Linked DNA regions of Rattus norvegicus. The protein of the gene in region 3 interacts with the protein of the main gene of each other region in a biochemical or structural test. Links are inferred from orthologs where the notes say so. Each region holds a gene or a part of one and is shown on either strand. Other genes may lie near its edges.

Region 1 (5,060 bases), on a different chromosome or scaffold from region 3:
CACTGAAGACATCCTGGTCATCTTGTCAGTATAGACTGGAGTGGACAGACTAAGAGAATGCTAGTCTTTATATAGTGCCTCCATCTCAGACACTTGCAAGGGCTTTTGTTTGTTTCTTTTTGTTTTGTTTTGTTTTGTTGGTTTTTTTGTTGTGTTTTGTTTTCCAGTTAGTTGATTTTATTCATTAGGTGAGTCTGTGGCAATGTCCTGGAACTGAGAGGGAAGATGGGAATTGAATGGGCCCAAGTCAGAGCTCGTAAGCTTTTCTTTCCAGGGTTTTGAAAAATACTAAGTATCCTCAAACCTTTAAGGAGATACAAAATGATTCATTAGAATAAGAGCAGGAGTGGTTCACACGGTTAATCCCAGAATCCTGACTAGAAGGCAAGAGAAGTTCAAGGTCAGCTTGGGCTACCTAGAGACTACCTGGACAACCTGAGGCACAGCTTTAGGTTTAATCTCTAAGTGAACAAATAGAAAGGAAAAATTAGATTGTGCCTGCCCTACCTCCCAAACAATAGAGAGGTGGAGGCAGAAAGATACTTGCACTTTGGAGGCTAACCTGATCGACAAAACAAGAGCCTGTCTTGGACACAAAACATATTTGGGGCCAGAGAGATGGCTCAGCAATTAAGAGCATTTATTGTTCTCAGAACAGGTTCAATTCCCATCGCCCACATAGAAACTCTCCACCATCCATAACTCCAGGTCCAGGGGACTCAACATCCTCTTCTGTACTCTGCAGGTTTGTGGTACACAAAAATACATCCAAGCAAGCCACTAATACACATAAATAAATGCCTCTTTTAAAAAAGAGAAAAAAACAAAACAAAGGAAAGGAAAGGGTCTGGTAAGCAGTATCTACAATCATGTAAGCCAGGTGTGTTGGCCCAGATAGGAAGGAGGATCCCTGTGAGTTCAAGGCTAACCTTGTAAGTTAGTTCTAGGCAGAGGTACATAGTGAGCCCCCTTCTCTGGCTTAAAGAAGAAAATGAATCAAAGACATGCATCAACATATAGCTCAAGTCATCTTTTAAATAAAAGAACATTTTTAAGTTGCATTAGTACCCTTTTATCATTAAAAATACGGTATTCCGACTTTGGCTATGCTAACAATGGAAGCGAGTGTTTTATGCTACTTGAATGTTTCATTTACTGTAGGAACATGGGTAAGCCATCCAACTTAAAGCTTCAAACGTCTGGCGATTTATTGTGGATATGTTGAGAAAACCAATGGGAGAGAACTCTAAACTATACAAGCCACCTTCCAGGAATACGTTCATGCTTTATTATAATGAAATAAATTATTTTATTTTGCCTTTCTCCTCTTTTGAAAGATGACGACAGTTTTGCGGTTCTAGCAAAACAGTTTGCTTTATTTAGGATCTTCCATTTAGGAAGATGCCCTCAAAATGTCCGTCATTTTATACATTCATATATACATACATATAAGTGGAAGAAAAGAGAAGTAAGCAATCCCAATCAAAAGGAAATAAAATCCCTCTGCAATGGAGAGTTCTAAAGTGCCACGCCTACGGGCTGTTTTCCAATCTGCAGACTCCCGCCACGACTGCAGCCCGCAACCCCTCATTTCTCCTGAGTCAGCTGGCGCCATTTCTGGGATGACCGAGAAGGGCGCTCTGGCCTTGGAATGACTTCTATGATAGGGCCCTTCTAGCCGCCGCCAGCAACTGGCGCCAGACTCTCTGGTAGGCGTTTGGAAATCTGCGCGGGAAGCATTCCGTTGGTCCAGGGCGCTACCCAATCGCGGCGCAGGGTTCTCAGGCCACACCCCTTGATTGTCGGCGTTTCCTTCAGCCTGTTTCCCGCCGGTAGCCACACTTTTAAGCTGTGAGGGGGCGAGGCGGGGGCGGGGCTTTCTACTTGGGCTTTGAATCAATCGGCGCGCTTTCAGTAGTAAAAGACAGTTCCAGGAGCCAATCAGCCAACCCACTCTCTTCCGGGATTCGCACTCCCGCCACTCGGGTAGCGGCCGTTACTGGTGGCGCGCGCGCGGATTCAGTCGGTGAGTTCGGCCGCCCGCGCCCCGGTTACCATCTTTGATTCCTCCTGAGGGCGGGAGGGGCGTGCCTTAGGTGTCACTGGGCGGAGGTAATTTGGGTTGCGGTTTTAGATTTTTTTTTATGCTGATCCTTGACTGGCGCCCTGGCCCATTTGATGACACGGAAACATTAGGCCACGAGGGAACAAACTCCAGCGTGAGCATCAAAGATGGTTGCCCTTCAATTGGAGCGAAGGGTCGTAGGCGTCGACTGGGTTGACAGGACGGAGTTTACTTCTTGGGGTACACACTACTTTCCCTGTCAGCGGTCTCTCCATGTGTGACATCTTTATAGGTAAAACCCACCCATGCAATTTTGAATTTCTGTCTCTAATTTCAGTAACTCTGGCGGTGTAGCTGCCGTGAGAGCAGGATTCATTTTGAGGATGTATGCCCAAATACCTGAACCGTACCAGGTGTGCATAATTACTGTAGAGCAGATAAGACGGATCCCAGAGTAGGGGAGGTGGGCATTTAGATGCAATTCCACCGGAGAGAGATGTCGAAGACATAGGGTCTTGCCAAGGATCTAGTTTAATTCTGTTAACTTAGCAGATACGAGAAAACATTAGGGGTGATTTAGAAAGGTTCCTTAACCCATCTTATGTTGTCGTTTCTCATCTGAAAAAAAAAAAGAACAACAAAAACAAACAAACAAAAAAAAACAGCCCTACCCTTACAGGGTACTTCTTCCCAAGAATAAATGAGTCAGTCAACCTAATGTGTTAAAATAGTGTTTAACATATAAACGCCTTATTATATGTTAGCTTCTCTGCTTCTTTGCCCTTCAAGCTGAGGTTTGCTGATGAGAGTGCATAAAATAGGGGCTTTGTGACTCTTTATTTCTATTTACATGCTGTGTTATTCTGAGCAAATGAATTTTTGGAGGTATTACCTCCTGGTCTCATTTGGCTATTATGCCTGATACAAGACAGTACTCAACAGTGGATGGTGAAATCAATTAGGGAGTGGTAAAAAGGCTTTTACAAATTAGAACATGTGTAAGACTCTAAGTTTGATCCTCACTAGTTTTCTTCTGTGTGTGTCAGGTTAGAAAAAAAAAAAAACAGGATAGGAAAACAGTATTTTCTAAAGATTTATTTTATTTATTTATCTTCTAAAGTGAATACACTGTCCCATCAGATCCTATTACAGATGGTTGTGAGCCATGTGGTTGCTGGGATTTGAACTCAGGACCTCTGGAAGAGCAGTCAGTGCTCTTAACTGCTGAGCCATCTTTCCAGCCCCAGAAACAGTATATTTCACATACCACTGTTTCTCAAAACCCATACCTCACACAGGTGAGTGCATGGTTCCAAGGAGGGTGTCAGATACCCTGGAATTTGAGTTATGAACTGTTGTGAGCCCCTCTGTGGGTCCTGAGAACCGAACCTAGGTATTCTGGAAGAGCAAGCAGTACTCTTAACCACTGAGAACCACCTTGCTGTTTTTATTTTTGTTTTTAATGGGGTCTTACTGTGTTGTCCATGCTAACCCGGAAGTCCTGGACTCAAGCAATTACACTGCTTCAGCTGCTCCCATACTTTGGGCATACACCACCTCAATCCAGCGTATCTTTTTTTTTTTACCCATCTGTGGGCTGGGGATATAGCTCTGTGGTAGAGCATTTGTATTGGTGTGTCATGAGAAAACAGCTATCAGCAGTGCCTGCTTTCAAGGTCCTCATAGCTGAATGGGGTGTGTCTATCCAGGACATACATTCTATGAATTCAGTCTGTAGTATCTAAAAACAAGCAATCAAGTCACATAAAATATCCCCTTCTGTATAATAGTATACTTTGTGTCCTGGCCAAAAGTATAGATATGTATATATATATATATATTATTTGTTCTGTTTTGGAGGGGGTCTCACTGTGATTCTGGCTGGCCTGGAACTGGCTATGTAGACCAAATAGAGACCTGCCTACCTCTGCCTTTCCATTGCTATAATCAAAGCTGCACATCATCCTGTCTGGTAAGGTCCCCAGTCCTTAATTTTCCTGCTTCATCATCTCACATGCAGGGACTACAGATAGATGCCAACATATGTCTATTAAAAAAGACTTTTTCCTCACTGTTGTACTAAGTGTTGAACATGTGGTCTCACACAGGCTAGCCAAACATTCTATTCACTGACATATTCTCCCACCCCTCAATATTGTTACATGACTGACTGATGGAAAATCATCACCCATGGTTGTGTACATCTTTAATCCCAGCACTTGGGAGGCGGAGGCAAGGGGATCTCTGAGTTTGAGGCCAGCCTGGTCTACAAAGTGAGTTCCAGGACAACCAGGGCTACATAGAGAAGCCCAATCTCAGAGAGAGAGAGAGAGAGAGAGAGAGAGAGAGAGAGAGAGAGAGATCATTTCCACATTTACCCAGGTTTACCTCTAGTTATTTTTTTTCTGACAGGAGCAATGATAATGTGTTTCCTTTATAGATATGGAAAACACTCAGGTGATTGACTGGGATGCTGAAGAAGAGGAAGAGACAGAAATATCCAGTGGATCCTTGGGGTATAGTGTGGAGCCTATAGGGCGGCTGCGATTCTTCAGTGGTACCCATGGACCAGAACGAGGTCAGGGGATATTGGGAGCTAAAGTATGAATGTGGGTCTTATTAGAAGAAGTTAGAAGGTTTCAAAGGGGATATGAATAACTGTACTACAAAGGATGCCAAAGAGGCCACCTGAGTTGACTGTTCAAGGCTGGTGACCTGGATTTTCTAGGAGTGATTTTCTTTTGTCAAGAGAAAATGAAGAGCTTCAAATAAAAATACAATGTGGGGACTAAAAAGATGGCTCAGTGATTAAAAGTGCTTACTGCTCTTGATCCCTGTACTCAGGAGGTGACTCGAGAATTTGAGGGTAACCTAGGCCACATAGTGAATTTGAAAATAACCTAGGCTACATGGAAGACCCTAAATCAAAAAACAAAACAAGAGCTATAGCCATGGCTCAGAGGGAGATTGCTTAGCTAGCATGCGTGAGGGCGCT
Region 2 (4,995 bases), on a different chromosome or scaffold from region 3:
GCTGACAAGGTATCATTCTGGAAATGGTGTCATCTTCATTATTTCTATGTGTTATGATTACATTATTAACATTAATAATATGTGGCTTTATTACAGGAGTTTTATTAAGGCCATAAGCCTTTTTAAAGTCACTTAAATTAAAACTCAGATAATCCAAACTCTCCCTAATCTGGTATCAATATAAGAAACACATATGAGGGGCTGAAGGGATGGCTCAGTGGCCTAAAGAACTTGTTCCACTTGCTGAAGATCTGGGTTCAATTCCCATCATTCAGTGCTGACTCACAGCCAGCTGCGACTCCATTTCCAGGGATCCTATTCCAATCTCTGAGCACAGTATGAACATATGGGCAAAGCACTCATACACACAAAATTTAAAAAAAAAAAAAAAAAAAGTAAAAAAGCCACTGGCCAGAGATGGGACTAAAAGGGAGCATGCTTGCCAAGAACATGCCAGGCTGGGAGTTCCATCCCTAGCAACACTCCCATGATCCTACATACAATAAAGTTAAAAGGAAAGTGGTGGGGTGGAGGAGTGGGGGTGGGGGGCACATATGAGTGTTGGAGATGTTGGTTCAGCGCTTGGCTGTCCAGCATTCAGGAAGCCTTGGGTTTGATCCCCAATACCCCATAAACCAGGTTTGGGGGGGGGATGTCTACAGTCCCAACACTGGGAAGGTGGAGCAAGGTGATCAGAAGTTCAAGGTACAGTTTGAGGCCAATTTGGAATATAAGAGAAAGTCACAAAAACAAGCACGCAACAAAATCAAGTAAAAAACAACCCAATATGTCACAAAAATACTAATGTCTATTAATGGATGAGATGTAAGAAGGCAGGTGCTGGGAATCGGACGTTCTAGTGTGATTTTTCAGTACCCATTGAACTGGCTTAGGTACTCTCTGGTGTGTTCACTCCTTAGTTTGTAAAACAGCCTCCCAGGTGCTCTGCAGACTCCTGGTTTACCTCGCTGCTTCTGTTTTAACTCTTTTAGGTATCTTTAATATTGCATTTTCCCACCTGGGACCCACAGTGCTCTTTCTGAAACATGAGATCTGTTACTTCCCTTTCTTCCCTACAACTCCTCCCTGCCTTCCCGTCCTTTACAATAGAATATCCGAGTGCTAAGTAGCCTTGCTAAGTACGCCCCCGCCCCCCGCTGGCCTGGAATCCACGAGTCTCACCTCCGCCTTCTGAGTTTGGGGATTTTTGAAATGTATTTTTCGTCTTTTTACAGAAAAAAAATTAAGCCCTCGGTTAAAGGATTCTGTTCCCTAAAAGGCTTAAGAGTAGTTAGTCTAAAGCGAGTTTGACTCATCCCAAACCCCTTCCTGTGCACATCCCAGGCTTCAGGGTTCTAGTAAACATGCCCCGCCTCTGGCAGGCGACTTATACTCTCACACGCGCGCGCGCGCGCACACACACACACACCCCGACCAACGCGCACTCACACGCGCACACACACACAGACACACAACTCTCCCCACCCCTCCATATACATTCACACACTCACACACCTCTGTGCACAGTGGCCCAAACGCGGGCTTCCGTGCCCACCGCCACGCCCCCGAAGTACCGCCTCTTTAAATTTTAAAACGAAGGCTCAAGCCAATGAGAACTAAATTTCTCCCGGAACTCAGCGCCCCGCCCACCGCCACACCCTCCACCAATCAAGCGGAGGCTTTCCACACGCCTTCCAGTTAGGCTTAAAAATGGAAGTGCTTACGTAACTTACGTTCAGCCGGCAGCCAATAGGAGCGGAGCTTGGAAACCAGCTCCTCCAATAGCAGCAGTTGTCGGAGAGCGCGGGAGCCTTCGGAGCAGGGCCTCAGAGGAGCGGGCAATGGCGCTGGTTCTCTGAAGAGAGTGCTTTACCCCAGGAAGGGCAACGCGGGGCCGGGCGGAGGGAGTCCCGTGGCGGCCGAGATGGCCTGCTGTCACAAAGTGATGCTGCTGGTGGACACTGCGGGCGACGCTGCTCGCCATAGCTCCGCCCGGCGCGCCGCCCTCCGTCTCCTAACTTACCTGAGCTGCCGCTTCGGCCTGGCCAGGGTCCACTGGACCTTCAAGTTCTTCGACTCTCAGGGGGCGCGAAACCGGCCCTCCCGCGTGTCCGACTTCCGCGAACTGGGGAGCCGCTCCTGGGAGGACTTCGAGGAGGAGCTGGAGGCCAGGCTCGGGGATCGCCCTCCCGGAGCTCACCTGCCCGGCCCCACGCCCAGGGCCACCCACACGCACGGTGCCCTGATGGAGACGCTGCTCGATTACCAGTGGGACCGGCCGGAGATCACGTCGCCCACTAAGCCGATCCTGCGAAGTAGCGGGAGGAGGTTGCTGGACGCCGACAGCGAGGCCAAGGAGGCCGAGACCGCGCTCGGGGGCTTTGGGAACGCCGTCTTCCTCCTGGCGCCCTGTCCGCACTCACAGAGGGAGCTGCTTCAGTTCGTGTCCGGGTGCGAGGCCCAGGCTCAACGCGTGCCGCTCACCCCCAAGCAGCTGATGGAAAAGGTGTTGCCCAAGAGAGTCCAGGAGGTCATGATCGCCCGAAATATAACCTTGTACTGGGTGGACACCACCGAGCGATCTAAGGTAAGGGGAGAGCAGTCTTGATCCAGTACACAGCTCCTCGACAGCTGAAATTGTCAGGCTCTGTAAAGTGCCATAGACCCAGAATGAACCCTGTGTTCTTTCCGAAGGAAACCCTTGCGGGTCACAAAGGACAGATTTTCCTCCACCCAGATCTCCATGGGTAGATTCTGGGTACCTACTAAATATAAGTGGAAGAGCTTCTGCGCTTTGGTACCAGTGTGCTTTTGCGTACTTAGTTTTACACAGCATTTGTATTCCAGCATGTGGAAGCCTGGTTCAGCCAGGCTACAGGGCTTGACCGATTGTTTTGTCTTGTACTGCTGTGTCTTCCTTGACCTCTAATCCTCTCACTCTAAGGCAATAGAAACTTCTCTTAACGTTTGTTGTTGGCTCGCCCTGATGGCCACCCAGCCCCCCACCTTTAATCCCAGCACTCAGGATGCAGAGAGAGTCAGGTGTATCTACCCCCTAGGTCTATGCAGAGAGACCCTGTCTCTAAAACAAAAACAAAACCCCTTTGTTGTTGTGGCTGGCGCTCTTTCTCTATTCTGTTCCAGTTGGACACACCTGTCATTTTCCATTCATTCTAAAAATGCTACCTCAATGGTAGTGGCCCATGGAAAGCTGAAGCAGGTTAGCCACAGTTCAAGCCAGGGCTGCAAGGTCTTGTCTCAAAAAAAGCAAACAACAAAAATCTCAAAGCCAGCTACCAGGTCTTAACTCCGTTTTCTGTTTCCCCACAATTGAACATTGTGAGTGTTAAGTAAATATTTGCTGATTAAATTAATCACTGTTCTACAAACTTAGTCTTAAAACAGCTAATAGTGTGTGTGTGTGTGTGTGTGTGCGTGCGCGCTTGTTAGTTTTGAAACAGACTGGTGTAGTGTAGTGGCCTGGAACTCTGTGTAATGGAGGATGACTTTAAACTCTTGGTCTCCTGCCTTCATATGTATATAAATTTTTCTTTCTGTTACATCATTTGGTAAAGATATATGCACTAATGAGCTACTCCATTAGGTACATCCTACCCTGTTTTAGGTGCTAGAGATATGGTGGGTAAATAAAGTGTATTTTCTAGTTCGGAAGATATATTAGGCAGATGAGCAAATCAGTGACGATTTCAAAACTTGTTCCAAAGAAAGGCTGGGTGAGGGGAGGGAGCTGGTTCTCGTACTTAGAGGTGTATGTAGGGGAAAAGGCCTTTCTTGCATGCTTGGATAGTGAATGAGGAAGAATGTGAAGCTGGGAAAGACTATTCTAGACTTAGAGAAGGTGTGTGTAAGGGTATGAGCTAAGAGTGAGCTTCGTATTACATACAGAAAGGCGAGGAGCCCAGAACCCAGAAAAGCAATGGGGAGATCGGCGAAGTTAGAAAGAAGTGGCCAGTCCCCCAGGCCAGGCTTGAAACGTTGGTTTTGTTCTGATCAATGAGAAGATTTAGAACGTGGTTTAAATGGGTGAGGAGCTTCCAGTTAATAGAACTGCGTAGCTCTAAACCAGGAGTTGGTTATACAGCAAGATTACAGATGAGAAATTAACAGTAGTCATACAGAATGTTAAAATTTAGGGCAAGAATTGGGGGTAAGAACATTTCCAAGAATTAATTTAAAACTTTAATTTTATTTTGCATGTGTGGGTGTTTTGTCTGCATGTATGTCTGTGAATTACCTGCAAGGCTGGTACCTATGAGAGCCAGAAAAGGGCCAGATTCTAGGGACTGGAGTTATCTGTGGTTTTGAGCTGCCATGTGGGTGCCAAGAATTAAACCTAGTTCCTCTGAAAGAGCAGACAATACTCTTTAACTGCGGAGCCATCCCTCCAGCTGTAATAAAAATATGTTAAAGCAGGTTGTTTGATCCATGCCTTTAATCCCAGCACTTAGGCAGAGGCCAGTGGATCTGAGTTCAAGGCCAGCCTGGTCTACATCTTGAGTTCCAGGATAGTGAGACCCTAACTTGAAAACAAACAAACAAATATTAGGTGTATTAGGGCTGGAGATGGCTAAGGTTAGGAGCACTGATTGCTCTTCCAGAAGACCTGAATTCAATTCCCAGCACCAATGTGGTGGCTTACAACCTTTTGTAATCCCCCCTTCCCCCACCCCGGAATTTGACACCCCCTTTTGGCCTCCGAGGACATCAGACAGGCAAGTGGTGCACAGACATACATACAAGAGAAACACCTATATACATATAATAAATTTGTACACATAAACTAAAGATTTCCAATATAAATTGGGTATGGTGGAGTGCTTGGGAGAATTGTGTATAAGTAACACAGGTAAGTGAAAAGTCCTCTGTTAACTTTGCCTTTTATCAACAGACAGCCCCACCCTACCCTTCCAAGCTGCTCTTCTGGCTGAATCAGTTTCAGTAGATTTGTGTCTAGTGACATCTGAACTAGTTTGC
Region 3 (4,499 bases):
GGAGAAGAGAGCGAGCGAGCGCAGGAGCAGTCTGGAAAGCCGTCTCAGCTTGGACCCCTGGTTTGACTTTGAGTTGTTCTTTTCACTGCTCCCAGACACCCCTTCTCAGAATCCCTCTCCATGCGGAGAACGGTCCTTAGCAGTAGATCATCGGGTAGGCCTTAGATTGAGAGATCCAGTTTCCTGAGCACTGTGATTGAAGGCGTGTGCCACCACACCCATCCTATATTTTCTTTATTAGTTTACTGTGATGATTATAAATTATCATTGCATACAAATCCTGCCTGTATGAAGTCCTGATTTTGAGTCCTACTACTTACTGCATTATAAAGCTGAGTGTGGTGACACACACCTCTAATACTATAACTTGGGAGTTGGAGATGAAGGAGTCAGAAGTTCAAAGTCTTCTTTGGCTACAAAGAGTTCAAAGCCAACTTGGATTCAGTGAGATCCTGCCTCAGAAAACAAAACAAAAGGCCAGGTACAGTGAGTGGTCCATAACTTCAGCCCTAGCACTGGGGGCAGAGGTGGGTGGAGCTCTGAGTTCGAGGTGATCCTGGTGTTGGGTAGAACAGTGGTTCTCAACCTGCCTAATGCTAGGACTCTTTAATACAGTTCTTCATAGTATGGTGATCCCAATTGTAAAATTATTTTGTTGCTACTCTATAACTAATTTTGCTACTGTTAAGAATTGTAACGTAAGTATCTGTTTTCTTATGGTCTTAGGTGACCCCTGTGAAAGGGTCGTTTGACCCCCAAAGGGCTCCATTTAAAGATCAAGAACCACTGGTATACCATAAAGAGACTCTGCTTCAAGAATGAATTAACCAAACCAAAAATCTCATTGTATAGCAGCTAAAATGCTTTGATATATAAATCCAACAGACTGAAGCCCCAGAATCCATGGAAAGGTGGAAGAGAGAAACAACTACACAGTCTTATTCTTTGAACTCCATAAGAGTTCCAAGACAGCTACATACAAAACAGTAGCAGATAGAAAGGCCTCCAGTCCCTTTGTGATGGTCATTCTGATGTGTCAGCTAGGCTAGCCTATTTAGTCAGTGCTGATCTCTTCTATGTTGGAAGAGATTTGCCATTTAGCAAATCCTCCTTCTTGGACCTTAGAGCCAGGAACTGTATGCTTTTATGGGATATAAGCCACTTTAAAGAAATATTAAATATAATTTCACTTTAAGAACGAATTTGGGGCTGGGGATTTAGCTCAGTGGTAGAGCGCTTACCTAGGAAGCGCAAGGCCCTGGGTTCAGTCCCCAGCTCCGAAAAAAAGAACCAAAAAAAAAAAAGAACGAATTTAATTTTTTGTACTTTGTCACTAAGATTTCAGTAAAAATCTCTGAATCTTTGTAGGTTTACCCCTTAACCACTTTACAGGAAAAGTTAGTTTATAAGGAAGCGTGCAATGACTCCTTTACCTCAGGAATTTATCACCGTCTTTTACATTTGTAGATCACAGGCTGGCAGATGTCAGCCATATATCCAACATCAACGGCAGCTGTGTAAATGAAACAATGTTTGGTTCAACTACGAGCAAACTCGAATGCACACTTGAGAACCTAGAAAATCTGGACATCAGTATGTTTCAAGCACCTGAAGATCTATTAGATGGCTGTCGGGTATGTCTTTATTAGGTAACAAATTCAGAAGGATGAATAATCTTCAGACCCGAGTTTAGGGCTAGCTCGGGCTACACAGTGAGGTCCAGGTACCCACACACTCTCAGCCTGACTCCAGAGACCCCTCATAGTTGCACTTGCTCCTTATGTGCGTTAACAAACTCTGCACTAACTTAAGCTGCCACTTGCCGTGCTCTACTGTGCTTGCGAGTGTGCCTGGGCTGCAGCTCTATTTCTGAGTTAACCTAACTTCAACTCTGTTCTGAAATCTTACCACTTACCTTAAAAGTATTCAGTCATACCTATCATTTGTTGTTTACAATACATTAATGCCAATAATCATTTCATGTTACATTATTTTATTTAAAGTATAATTTAATTCCCACAAATAAAGTGGTTTATTATCTTGAAGGTAATACTTAGAAGATTAAAATCCTTTTTTAGGGCAATGTGGCTAAAGTGCTTGTTGCTAAGCCTGACAACCTGTGCTTAGTCCTTAGAACCCCATGTGGTGGAAGGAGTGAGCCTCATCCTGTCCTGTGGCATGCACTTGTGCCATGCCCACACATGTATACACACAAGGCATAAATGTAAATTTAAAATACAATAAAATGCTATCTCAGAGTTCTAGACAGATAATACTGTGGTATTCAAGTCTACTTCCTTAATTGTGTACAAGGCCTTGCGTTCAGTGCTCAGAAATAAAAAGAAAAAGGGTTTGCTTTGTAAGATTATTTTCAGTGTGTGTCCATGAGCTCTGTGGTGGAAGCGTCTTGTATTTTAGATCCACAGACCTCACACAGTGCTGTCTGTGCAGCGATGAGCTAGCTACCCTCTTCCTCAGAGTAGGTGCTTAGTGTGTTTTATTGTTCAGGCCAGTGTCTTAGTTAGGCTCTTACTGCTGTGAACAGACACCATGACCAATGGAAGTTTTATAAAGGACAACATTTAATTGGGGCTGGCTTACAGGTTCAGAGGTTCAGTCCATTATCATCAAGGCTGGAGCATGGCAACATCCAGGCAGGCATGGTGCAGGAGGAGCTGAGAGTTCTACATCTTCATCTGAAGGCTGCTAGCAGAATACTGCCTTCCAGGCAGTGAGGATGAGGGTCTCCAAGCCCACCCCACAGTTACACACTTCCTCCAACAAGGCCACACCTTCTAATAGTGCCACTCCCTAGGCCAAACATATATAAACCGTTACAGCCAGTTATCTGTTATCCCTCCTAAGATTTATCAACATACTAGTGGGACAGAAAGACACTTTGTGTAATCTTTTTTTCTTTGATCTTGGGACATACTAATTCTAGAAGTAACTTTGGATTTTTCTTTCTATGTAGGCAGTATTTGATTCCTAATTTTAGGATGTATTCTAGTAATGGTGATAGTTTAGGACATGTGGAAATAGATTGTCCTCTTTGAAATTTTTAAAAGAGGTGAAAAAATTTATGTTAAATTGGCTTAAATATGTACCCTCACATCTAGAATCCTTGTATACATGTTTCTTCAAAGCAGTGTGCTCAGCTCTTAGATTTGCTGTTTTGTTTAATTCAAGTAGAAAAGAAATTTCAGGAAGGATAAATATACAGGAAGAGTTGGCTCAGAGCCTTAAGGAATTTGCTCAGGTCATATGGCTGATGCAAACAGGCAAGCCTGGGTGCTCAAGTTTATAGCAAGCTACAGTTTTTCTTTGTAATTACTCACTTACAAGAAGTTCCTTTACAACTTAAGGAGCTATTGCATGTCAGAAATAGCTCTGCCACCCACCAAGCCTGATCACACACACACACACTGAAAATCTTGGAACAGGTTGTGCACCATCATTTGAAGATGTTGAAGTCTGTCTTATGATTCATTTTCAGCATTAACCCTACTGAGAGATCACAGTGCTGTGGGACTGTAAACAAATACCAGTTACAAATACCAGTTTTAGGCTGAGGGGATGGATGATAGGCTGAGGGGATGGATGAGTGGGTCAGGCACTTGCTGTGAAAAAACATTGAGCCCCAGCACCTATGTAAAAGCTGTGAGTGATGGTGTCCAGCACTGGGGGGTTGAGGGGAGCTAGCTGCCAGTACCTGTGTGTTCACATTAGATTTAGAATATGTTTTATTCCTTGTATCTCCCAAAATGTATATAAAGTATCTTATTTACACACAGTGGATACAATTTTCTTCTTGAGTATGTTAATTCAAAGAAATCTTTCCTTTGCAGATATATCTTTGTGGCTTTAGTGGCAGAAAGCTCGATAAGTTGAGAAGGCTTATTAACAGTGGAGGTGGAGTTCGGTTTAATCAACTCAATGAAGATGTAACTCATGTAATCATGGGAGATTATGAGGATGACGTGAGGCAGTTTTGGAGCAAATCCTCCCACAGGTCCTGTCAGCCTTTAATTTGGAGCACTTGTACTGGGATGTTTTGGGTTAGAGTTGCACGTCTGCAGCTGTGGGAATGCCAGGACTGCTGCCTAACCGAGTGTTCTTTTTCTAGGCCCCATGTAGTGGGAGCAAAGTGGTTGCTGGAGTGTTTTAGTAAAGGATATATACTTCCTGAAGAGTCATATATCCACGCTAACTACCAGCCAGATGGAATTCCAGTTTCAGATCAGCCCAGAAACCAGACAACTGTCTTAGAAAAGAGTGGCACATTCTCTAAGAAGGACTTTGTTCCTAATGAGAAGTTTCAGCAGACTGATGAGGATCTGCTTGCTCAGTATGTACATGATGACTCCACAATAGGTGAGAAATAGTTGATTAGCATTTGTAATTAAACAGTATATAAATTATGATATCTGCCACATTTTTATGAACTTTTTTATTTCCAAAAAGTTTTAGATCTGTAACTTTCTAAGCAAGCAAGGTCA
Region 4 (5,098 bases), on a different chromosome or scaffold from region 3:
GTAGAATTATCAGGAATGGGGGCACTGTGGGCACAGGGTGGAGGGTGGCTTGAAGCAGTCAGGCTTAACTGTGCCACATATTCAACTTCGTTCTTTTCTTTTCAAGATGTACTTATTGTATGTGCTCTATCTGTACACCTGCATGCCAGAAGAGGGCATCAGATCACCATGTGGTTGCTGGGAACTGAACTCAGGTCCCCTGGAAGAGCAGCTGAGCCATCTCTTTAGGCCCTCCTTTTTTTCTTTTTCTTTCTTTCTTTCTTTTTTTTTCTTTTTTTTTTTTTTTTTCCGAGACAGGGTCTTGCTATGTGGCCCAGGCTGGCATCTCAAATTCTCAAAGTCCTTAGTGGTAGGATTATAGGCATGAGCCACCATACCTGGCTTAACACCTATTTATTGATCCTAAGCTGTGTGTGACGCACACAAGACAGAGCAACAGACAAAACTGATGCAGTTCCAGCCCACGTGTAGTAGCCACAACAGCAGGGAGCACAAGTATTAAACACAGGAAAACTGATAGGCACCATGGAGTGTTCTGTGCCGAGGGAATCTTTGCTGTTGAGCCTAGGAAGAGAAGCCAGCATGGGAAAAGCAGGCCACAGCCTTGGAAGCAGCCAGAGTGACAGCCAAGGGCCTGACAGGACTTTGGAGATAGGTGATCAGAGGTAGGATACAGTGAAGACATGTGGGACCTGGATCCTGAAAGTTCCAGATTAAGAGACCAGACTTTGGAGAGTTAAGCTGGTGGAGGCAGATCGCTGAGGACAGTGGAGACAAGGAGGGCCACTTTGCCGTCTGTTTGGTAACAAAGTAATCAGAATCCACTGAAGAACTGATCAGATGAGGAGGAGAGGATGCTAACAGCTAACTCCAGTCTAACAGTGAACTGGACGCCTCTATGTTGCTCACACTGGTTGCCTTGGATGTGGAATGGGAAAGCAGTCTCCTCCCCGGAGGCTTTAAGAAAGGAGAAGCTAGAGAGGGAGAGGAGCCTAAAAAAGAGGAGTTAGATAACTAATACAGACTTCCCGTTAACCCACAGGACACAGCAGGGAAATGCAAGTGTTGCTCTAGGCTGTTCTTTTCACACTTGAAGTAACTAAAACCCAGAGAAAGTTGAATGCATCCCAGCTGATAGCCCTCATCCTTGACACTGTCTGGGTAATTGGTAACGTGTACACAAACTACGTGTAGTGCTTAAGCCTTTCCACGACTTCCCAGTTCATCCCTTCAGCCCTGACGGGCTCAAGGCTCGGGACACTCCACCCAGCCATATGGTCCTACCCCATTGTGCCTCTGCTTCTGACAGACCCATCCTTCTACCCTTTTCTGTCCCAGAACCTTCTGATCTTTCCGTGTATTTATGAAGGTCAGTGAAGGATCCTGAAATCAGAATGAACAGCCTCTTTTCATGGTTCTTGAAGCAAGTTACGTTAATTTTTTTTTTTTTTTTTTTTTTTGAGGGGAGCTGGTGGTTGCTGCCACAACAGAATCATCCCTGGCCCTGATTGAGCGCGAACTTTCCTTGACCCTGTAACCCCACACACTAAAGTTAGTGACTCCAGAGGGTCTACTCTTCCCATGTTCGGACTCTGGTCCAGAACTCGATCCTTGGTGCAGGCACCTTGCTCCTCGGAACTGCATCTAATGTGGGAGCCCGGTGGAGCAGCAGAACTCTGCAGGGTGGGAAAGCCAGACCCGATGAAGGACGCAGGAGCGCTCCCTCCGTAGTCACGTGACCCAGGCCACACCCAAGGAAACGACTGAATCACGTGGCGCCGAGCTTAGGAACGTTTTTCTCACGTGACGGAGGAACCCCGGGTGGACCAATAAGGAAGCGGAGGCCAGGCTGGCGGCGGGGAGGGGACGGTGCGCGGGAAGAGAACTTTAGGCATTCCTAGTAGCTGCTGGGACTCGTTGTGGGTTGTATCCCGTCCCGGTCTGGTTGTAAAACAAGCTCGGCCTCAGTGTTTATGTACCATGAAGTGCCTGATCACTGGGGGCAACGTGAAGGGTAAGTTTAGACCTGCTTTGCAGCAGACCATGTGAGCAAGCCCCTGGAGTCCCCCTAACCACTTTCTGCTCTCCTTCCGTAGTGCTGGGAAAGGCTGTCCATTCGCTATCCCGAATCGGGGACGAGCTCTATCTGGAACCCTTGAAGGACGGGGTAAGAGACTGGGACGCAGGGATGGGGGCCGATTCAATGGCGAGTGGGGAGCCTAGGCTTGGCGTTCACTCGGCCTTACAGGGTGATGGTGGACAGGTATTTCGGCTCAGTTTATTTCCTCTTGAGTTGTTGGGACATCAGCTTGGGCCCTGTCTTCTGAGGCTGCATGTGTATACAGAGGGCACTTAACTCTTCCTAGAGCGCCTTGTGGCAGGCAAGGTGGGGCTAAAGTAACTTAAGGGAAAAACAAGCATGGCAGACCCTGAGCCGCGGAAGACTGGGAGATCTACATGCAAGAAGGTCTTGCCACACAGAAAGGGAAGGGGAGTTTCATTAGGAAGCGATGGAAGAGAACTGCCGCTGGATGAAATGCAGGGCATTTAGTGAGCCTGACGTGGCCCCTGACTATTATCTTCCCTGCTTTTTGTGCCTCAGCTCTCCCTACGGACTGTGAACTCTTCCCGTTCTGCCTATGCCTGCTTCCTCTTTGCCCCCCTCTTCTTCCAGCAATACCAGGAAGCTTCCCCTGGTCAGGATCTGCTGCGCTGTAAGATCCTGATGAAGGTAAGGACCACCTGAAGCATCCACAGCTGTGCCTGTGTCAGGTACTCAGTAAATGATGACTAGGGAGTTAGTCTCATATGGGAGCTAGTCCATGCAAAATGCAGTGAGGTCGAGATGTTTAGACTCTAGAGGGTTATAAGAGCACTGGAGAGGGTGGTGACATTCAGGTTGGTCAAGAAAAGTTTAGCAGCCCTTCCCAGCAAAGAGAACAGCATGGACAAGCCTGGTAATGTGCAGACATCCTGCATGCAGTGGGAGCCCCCTTTCACAGCTTTGTTGGGCCAGTGATGGACCAGGGCCTACATGGGATGTAGAGCTGGTCCATGGAAGCAGAGTGCCAGGCCGATGTCCTACCCTGCCCAGTCCTTCCTGTCCGTCTTCCGCTCTCTGGCAACGGTGGAGAAGACTGTGGAGAAGTGCTGCATCTCCCTCAGTGGCAGCAACAGCCACCTGGTGGTCCAGCTTCACTGCAAATATGGTGAGCAGGCAGCTGGCCAGCTAAGAGTGGGGGAGTGGAGTGAAGGCTGTCAAGCCCACTGAGACCATTTCCCCTATCCAGGGGTCAAGAAGACACACAACCTCTCCTTCCAGGACTGTGAATCCCTGCAGGCTGTCTTCGACCCAGCCTCATGCCCCCACTTACTCCGCACCCCAGCACGGTGAGCATGCCTGCTTCGGACTTCACCTGAGTCTCTCCCACCTTTGGGGCCTTAAGTGTTATTCTAGGATATCTCACTCTCAGAATGAGATGAGGATGGCGAGTGGGGAACCTAGGCTTGGCGTTCACTCGGCCTTACAGGGTGATGGTGGACAGGTATTTCGGCTCAGTTTATTTCCTCTTGAGTTGTTGGGACATCAGCTTGGGCCCTGTCTTCTGAGGCTGCATGTGTATACAGAGGGCACTTAACTCTTCCTAGAGCGCCTTGTGGCAGCAAGGTGGGGCTTCCCACCTCTGGATGGAGGTGGGAAGGTCAGAAGTTTCAAGGCCAGTGAGTTTCTAGGCTAGCCTAGGTATTATGAGACAGTCTCAAAAAAGGGTGCATATGCTGGGGAGATAACTCAGTAAATGTGTGATGTACAAGCATGGGTGCCTGTTCCGAGTCCTCGCTTAGATAAGAATGTGTAATGTCAGTTGGCCGGCGGTGCACGCCTTTAATCCCAGCACTTAGCAAGGCAGTGGTTTTCTGTGAGGACAGCCTGGTCTACAAAGCAAGTTGCAGGCAGGCAGGCAGGCAAGCAGGGCTACAGAGAGAAACCCTGTCTTTAAAAAAAGGAACCAAACCAAACACCAAGATGGGCAGCACCTGAGAAGCAGCAGCACTGAGCATGTCTTCTGCCCTCTGCCCATGCACGTTCACACAACACAAAAGCACCTTTGCCTCTAAGGCGGAAACTCGGGGTTTCTGTGTCAAGGCCACACATCGCTTACCTTGCTCTTCAAGAACAGAAGCTGCTGTCTCTCGCCATTCCCACTGACTGTGGGTCCTGCCTTGTGTATCCCAGAGGCCTGCTCTGCTTGTCTAGAGAGAACCTATGACCTGCCTGCAGATCTCTTTTTTTTTTTTTAAACATTTATTATGTATACATCACACAGCTTTCTGCCTGCATGTATGCCTGCAGGCCAGAAGAGGGCACCAGACCTGATTGTAGATGGTTGTGAGCCACCATGTGGTTGCTGGGAATTGATCTCAGGACCTCCGGAAGAGCAGACAGTGCTCTTAACCTCTGAGCCATCTCTCCAGCCCCCTGCAGATCTCTTGTATGACCTGAATAACCCTGACAGCCTGTCCTTGACCCTGTGTCACAGTTTCAAAGCCCTCTGACCTCTCACTCTTCTGGTAGTGTCCCTCTTTTTTTTTTTTTTTTAAGATTTATTTATTTAATGTATGAGTATACTGTCCCTATCTTCAGACACATTAGAAGAGGGCATCAGATCCCATTACAGATGGTTGTGAGCCACCTTGTGGTTGCTGGGAATTGAACTCACAACTTCTGGAAGAGCAGTTGGGTGTTCTTAACCACTGAGCTATCTCTCCAGCCGGGTAGTGTTATATTCCTCTTATAGTGGCTTCTTCCTAACTGCCAGGGCTCTAGACTCTGGGCCAAAGGAAGGACCTGGGCAAAGAAGCTGGAGTCTAGGAGGGCTGCTGCACAGCCCGACAGCCCACGTCAAGACAAGGCATGGCAAGGAGAGTGTTCCAGCTGACATTAAGGTGGTCACTGAAGCCCAGAATGCAGTGGGTTCTCCCAGCATCCCCTGCCTGTGCTGGACACTGCATGCAAGTAGCCCAAGGTCCCACTCATTTCTCAGACTGAAGTCCCTTCAGGTCCCAGTGTCATCTTCCCCAGGGTCTGTTAATAGTGATA
Region 5 (5,143 bases), about 5.8 Mb from region 3:
TCTCACTAAATTGCTCAGGGTGACATCGATCTAGTTTAGGGCCAGCCAGGTCTTGAATGTGTGATGCCCCTCCCTGAGGTTCCTGAAGAGCTGGAATTACAGGCCTGCACCATTGCGCCCAGCTAGCATACCTTAAACCCAATACTCAGGCAGCTGATGCAGGAGAATTAAAATTTTAAAACACTAGGTTGAGGACTAGAGAAATGGTTCAGTAGTTAATAGCACTGACTGCTCTTCTAGGGGTTCAATTCCTAACACCCACATGGTGGCTCACTGTTTCCAGTTCAAGGGGAGCTGATGGCCTCTTCTGGCCTCAGACATACATGCAAGCAAAACACGGTCATCTCCAAAACGCAGCTTCTTTGGGCTTTAGGCCCATAGGGTTTTGCCAGCTGACACCCAGCTCTGTGCTGCTGAAAATAATTTATCAATAGTCATAGGCTCCTGCCACCAAACAGAAGGTATTTCTCTTTTATTTGGTGGAATCTAATCCCTCCTGACAATGTTCTTTCTTCCAGAAACAAAGATCTTAACTACTAAGACCCGGGCAATCAGGCAGGCATGGTAGCCCACACCACTTAGAGACACAGGAGGAGTGAAAATTTGAGGCCATCTCAATAAACAAAAACAGCTTGACATGGTGGTTCGTGTCTATAATCCCAGCACTCAGAGGGGAGGAAGGACATTCTGGGATTCCAGGGCCAGCTTTGGTTATAAGTTAAGACACTGTCAAAAGGGGGTGGGAGGATGGGACACTGGGAGGCTTAAGCATTCAACATTATGTTGAACAACTAAGGGAAATTACCAGCAGCTGAATCAAAATACTAAGGCAGTTCTAAGTGATCCAAGGCCTCTGACTTCTGTAGGCATCAGGCATGCATGTGGTGCACATACATGCAGGGAAAACACTCACGCATAAAAAAAAATGGGGGGGGGGAGGCGGGGAGGGGGGACGAGGGAAGGAGGAAGGGAGGAAGATAGGCACACAGGCCTAACACTTTCTAGGCCTGAGCACTCTCCTTTTTCACCGGATGCCTCAGCAAACATTGATTGGCTCACAAGCTAAGTCTGGCACTGAGCAGAGTAGAAAGATCTTGATCTTGTTGCTCTCCAATGCTAATCCCCCACGAATCCTCCCATTTCTGGTAACTGTTCTGCCCACCACTTCTGCTCATACACCCAAGCCCAACTCCTCGGTGAAGTTTTACCTCCTCTCTCTGCTGCAGTAACTTCCACCTGTCATCCTTGTCGAAGTTGAATTTTTTTTCTCAGAAACATCATGCGTCAGCCTCCTAACCCATTTTTCTTGCTATTTCTCCCTCAATCTGTTGGGCAATTCGAGGACCACTCCCGGCGAACCTTCGTTAACCTCTTGAGCTTCATTCGTCTCTACGCTACCAGCGCTCCGGACATAAAGACTCTCCAAGAAATAAATGGAAGTCGGAGCAGTTCCTAATAGGAGGCACACGTTCTCGAGACCATCCTTCCCAGACTTTTTCTCAAACATACATACTTGAAACTTTAGTTATCCTGGAAGATCCCTGCTTCCAGAAGAACGGCATTCCTTCTCCTCCCCACGTCTGCTCTTCCCAGCCTCCCCTCTGAAAGAGTCTCTGGACACGTGAATGGTGGGCCAGCCGCGAGGAGTGAGGTCAAGGACAGCTGACCCCTGAAAGATGCCTGCCTTGATTCAAGGCGAACTGCTTCTCTGTATTCTAGACAGTGCCGGGGGACAGCCACAGGTGAGGTCGGGCAGACGGTCCTCCATCTCGCAACCGGGGTAATGCTAACAGCACTGCAGTGTCCTGGTACTGCCGGGGACCTCAGGGTACTGAGCCCAGCAAGGCAGGAACCTGTCCCGGGTAACGGCGCGCTCTGTATACGTCACCCATCTGTGCCCGGTAGCTGGCAGCTGATTGGCCCGCAGGCTGGGGAGACGCTAGTAGCTGAGGGGAACGGCGGCGCGCGGGCGGTTGGGCCATCTCAGGCTTTCTGCCGATCAACCTGTGCTTGGCGTCCTCAGATGCTGCGAGCTGAAGGTAGTCATGGCCGGGACTCCCGCACCGAACAGCCACAGGAAGCAGAGTGGCGGCCTGGAGCCTTTCCTCGGTCTGTCTCGGTCCATCGAGAACCCTCCGAGCAAGCGGGCCCGGAGCTTCTCTGAGACCACAGTTCCGGACCCCGAAGACCCATTCGGCGAGCACGCGGAATTTACTGCGGACGACCTAGAGGAACTGGACATCCTCGCGTCACAGGCCCTGAGCCAGTGTCCGGTCGCGCCTCCGAACCTGTCCTGTGAGTGCCGGGGGGGGGGGGGGGCGGGGGTGTTCCCACGGCGGGTGGTGCAGACCTCTTCAGCTTGGTAGCTTTGGTACTGGCTGCTTGCACCGACGTTACCCTCTCACTTTTAAAAACGAAATAGCACCCGATCGAAACGCGGTTCTGTTTCAAACAACCCTCTAAATTGGTGGTAAGACAAAAAAAAGTCAAAGGGCCTCACATATGCAGATTTGAAATATAGACAGCTAGACTATTAATTATTTTCCTTGAAACATGACTACGATCACCTCAGGACCGTCACAACGCATGTGAGAGGATTTAAATGTTATGCACCCCATTGTTAGAAACCCTTGGGCAGAAAGCTTCTGTCAGAGGCAAGAGATGAGAGATTCATACACCACCAATGCTGGTTGCCCAAAGGTGAGGAATGGCAACAGCCATAAGCAATGGGCGAGCGATGCCAAAGCTGCTTTCTCTCTTAGAGCTTACACTCTTGGGGAGTAAGTTAAGTGTCAGAAGGGTTTGATGGAGATCTTGCAAATGTACTTAGCATTTAAAGCATCCGAAAAATAGGATTATCCCTGGAAATGTGGTCGGTCCTCCATCTCTCCAGCAATATTGCCTGGGAAACACTCATTGCTGACCAGCTGTATTATGCCACAGTGGTTAGGCACTAGTTTCCACGAAGTGGTACAAGGCAGCACCTCCCCATCCCCACCTCTTGGCCCTACGTCACTCATCATCCCATACTCTAACCCTGGAGTGTCCCCACCCTGGGGACGTATCCATTTTGTTCACCATCGGTCTTTAAAAACCAGCAGATCCTGTGCCTAGTGTGTTCAGTAAATAGTATTCATAATAGAGGCACAGCCAATGCAGACTCCTTTCAGCCATGAGCTGAGACTACAGAAAGTGGGTGGGGATCGAAAGGGGGAATATTCAGATATGCTATGCCAGAAGGATTCTCTATATCATGCTCTGAGATCGGAACTAATAAATACTGTTTACTGGGTCTATCTCAACTTGGACTCCTTTTGCATTTTATGACAATGGTGGGTATATAGTGAGCCCCCAGGTATATATACATGGTATTTTCTTCCAGACAGGTTCTCCATCTATAACTAAGCTAGCCTTGAACTTGAGATCCTGGTGCCTTAGCCATCTAAGTGCTGGGGTTACAGTTACATGCCACCATGCTCAACCTAATGGGGACTATTTTTTTATACAGGTGCTCATAAGGTCCGTCGACTAGATGGGTTACCAAATAGTCCTATAAGGAAAAACAGAGAAGATATTCCAGTTAAAGATAACTTTGAACTAGAAGTACTTCAGATACAGTACAGAGAACTTAAAGAAAAGGTGTGTAACTTTTGGGTTTCCTTTTTTGCCTGTTTGGTTCTAATACTGAGAATTGAACCTAGGACTTTACCTTCACACATGCTATACACATACATAGCTACAGTTAAGTCATACTTCCAGCCCTAATTTGTTGTATTTGTAGCTGATTCATGTGTTTATGTATTAAGAAAACATGGGTAAAATACATAAAGATATCTAAAACAAGCACCTAGAGTCACCTCTCTGAAATGACAGGAGGTGGGGAAGGAATGCCTGCTACGTTATTTACTCTGTGTACATACGTGAGCCTGTGCGAGTTTATATGCACTGCATGTATGCAGGTACTTGTGAATGTCATGGGTGTTGGATCCTCTGGAACCATCGTCACAACTGGTGTGAACCACCTGACATGGGTACTGGGAGGGAACCTGGGTCCTCTGTAAGAGCAGTGAGTGCGTTTAGCTGCTAAGCCATCTCTGCAGCCTCCACAGCCTGTAGCCTGTCTTTATCTGAGGAACATGCCATCATAATGGCTGCTATTTTGTTAGTGTTGCAAGCTCTCATACATCTCTCATGTGGGTCATCTGTAGGTGCCCAAGAAACCCAGAAATATAACATGGAATTTTAGTCCATGTAAGGTGTGATCTGTGGTGTTAAAGCTGAAAAAATCTATGTCAATGGTGAACGTATTCGGAAACTGTTGTTGCTGAATATCTGCTAATTGGGCCTAATTTGCAGCTGAAAGCAATGGAAGAAGAAATCCTAATTAAGAATGGAGAAATTAAAATTTTGCGTGACTCACTGCATCAGACAGAATCCGTTCTAGAAGAACAGAAAAGATCACATTTTCTTCTTGAGCAAGAAAAGACTCAAGCACTCAGTGAAAAGGAAAAGGAATTCTCCAAAAAGGTGAGCTAGAACATTTGTGTTGCGTGCGACGGACAGTAGTGTTGCCTACCGCTGAGTTACAGTAGAAGCCATACTATGCCTAGGCAAGCTGGCACATGCCTCTAATTTCAGGAGGCAGAGGCAGGTGGAGCTCTGTGAGCTCTGAGCCAGCTCACTGCAGGGTGAATTCCAGTCCAGTCAAGTGAGACCCTGTGTCTAAAAAATAAACAAAATAAAAGCAGTAACCAACCAGCCTTGCCTGGAAATACACAGCCATTGTCTAAGTGCTCTCCACTCTTAGTGGGTGGTATGTGCCTTTCTTCCGTGGTCTGCATTTGTTTTGGACAAGGAGTAAGATGAGGCCCTGCCTTGCTGTGGTTGTGGTTCTTGGCAGGAACAAGTCACTAGCTTAGAATCTCTAGGATAGGCTTGAATTAGGCTCCTTGGTAGGTTAGAAATCCAGTTGGCTCGGCTTAGCCAGAAGGAAATACATTAGCTATCACATCCAAGTCTAGGAAAACAGGGGCATAGTAGGGCTTCAGATGGTGTAAACCAGACATCTCAGGCTCTCTGTTGTGAGACCTGTTGCTCTATCAGCAGGGGTTCTGACTGGATGAACTCATACATTTCAAAACTC

The links. The genes of interacting proteins can lie anywhere in the genome.
Region 1: the proteins of Topbp1 (region 3) and Mdc1 are reported together in a solved structure, tested with the Homo sapiens proteins (3 studies listed by BioGRID, with this or other methods). The link is inferred for Rattus norvegicus from reciprocal best matches to the Homo sapiens genes TOPBP1 and MDC1.
Region 2: the proteins of Topbp1 (region 3) and Ticrr form a complex in vitro, tested with the Homo sapiens proteins (2 studies listed by BioGRID). The link is inferred for Rattus norvegicus from reciprocal best matches to the Homo sapiens genes TOPBP1 and TICRR.
Region 4: the proteins of Topbp1 (region 3) and Rad9a form a complex in vitro, tested with the Homo sapiens proteins (4 studies listed by BioGRID). The link is inferred for Rattus norvegicus from reciprocal best matches to the Homo sapiens genes TOPBP1 and RAD9A.
Region 5: the proteins of Topbp1 (region 3) and Atrip form a complex in vitro, tested with the Homo sapiens proteins (2 studies listed by BioGRID). The link is inferred for Rattus norvegicus from reciprocal best matches to the Homo sapiens genes TOPBP1 and ATRIP.

Annotation. Positions count from the first base shown.
Region 1 is NC_086038.1:2,911,756-2,916,815, reverse strand, and holds the start of Mdc1 (mediator of DNA damage checkpoint protein 1), read left to right. Parts: upstream 1-1,855; 5' UTR 1,856-2,026; exon of another isoform or gene 2,027-2,338; coding exon of another isoform or gene 2,339-2,357; intron 2,358-4,505; coding exon of another isoform or gene 4,506-4,507; coding exon 4,508-4,643; intron 4,644-5,060. UniProt on the Homo sapiens protein: Histone reader protein required for checkpoint-mediated cell cycle arrest in response to DNA damage within both the S phase and G2/M phases of the cell cycle.
Region 2 is NC_086019.1:143,005,199-143,010,193, forward strand, and holds the start of Ticrr (treslin), read left to right. Parts: upstream 1-1,790; 5' UTR 1,791-1,924; coding exon 1,925-2,587; intron 2,588-4,995.
Region 3 is NC_086026.1:112,776,194-112,780,692, forward strand, and holds part of Topbp1 (DNA topoisomerase 2-binding protein 1), read left to right. Parts: intron 1-1,467; coding exon 1,468-1,634; intron 1,635-3,848; coding exon 3,849-4,012; intron 4,013-4,126; coding exon 4,127-4,374; intron 4,375-4,499. UniProt on the Homo sapiens protein: Scaffold protein that acts as a key protein-protein adapter in DNA replication and DNA repair. Composed of multiple BRCT domains, which specifically recognize and bind phosphorylated proteins, bringing proteins together into functional combinations.
Region 4 is NC_086019.1:210,921,957-210,927,054, reverse strand, and holds the start of Rad9a (RAD9 checkpoint clamp component A), read left to right. Parts: upstream 1-1,893; 5' UTR 1,894-1,980; coding exon 1,981-2,014; intron 2,015-2,096; coding exon 2,097-2,167; intron 2,168-2,602; coding exon 2,603-2,731; intron 2,732-3,002; coding exon of another isoform or gene 3,003-3,094; coding exon 3,095-3,209; intron 3,210-3,290; coding exon 3,291-3,390; intron 3,391-5,098. UniProt on the Homo sapiens protein: Component of the 9-1-1 cell-cycle checkpoint response complex that plays a major role in DNA repair. The 9-1-1 complex is recruited to DNA lesion upon damage by the RAD17-replication factor C (RFC) clamp loader complex.
Region 5 is NC_086026.1:118,597,740-118,602,882, reverse strand, and holds the start of Atrip (ATR-interacting protein), read left to right. Parts: upstream 1-1,938; 5' UTR 1,939-2,045; coding exon 2,046-2,295; intron 2,296-3,508; coding exon 3,509-3,639; intron 3,640-4,356; coding exon 4,357-4,527; intron 4,528-5,143. UniProt on the Homo sapiens protein: Required for checkpoint signaling after DNA damage. Required for ATR expression, possibly by stabilizing the protein.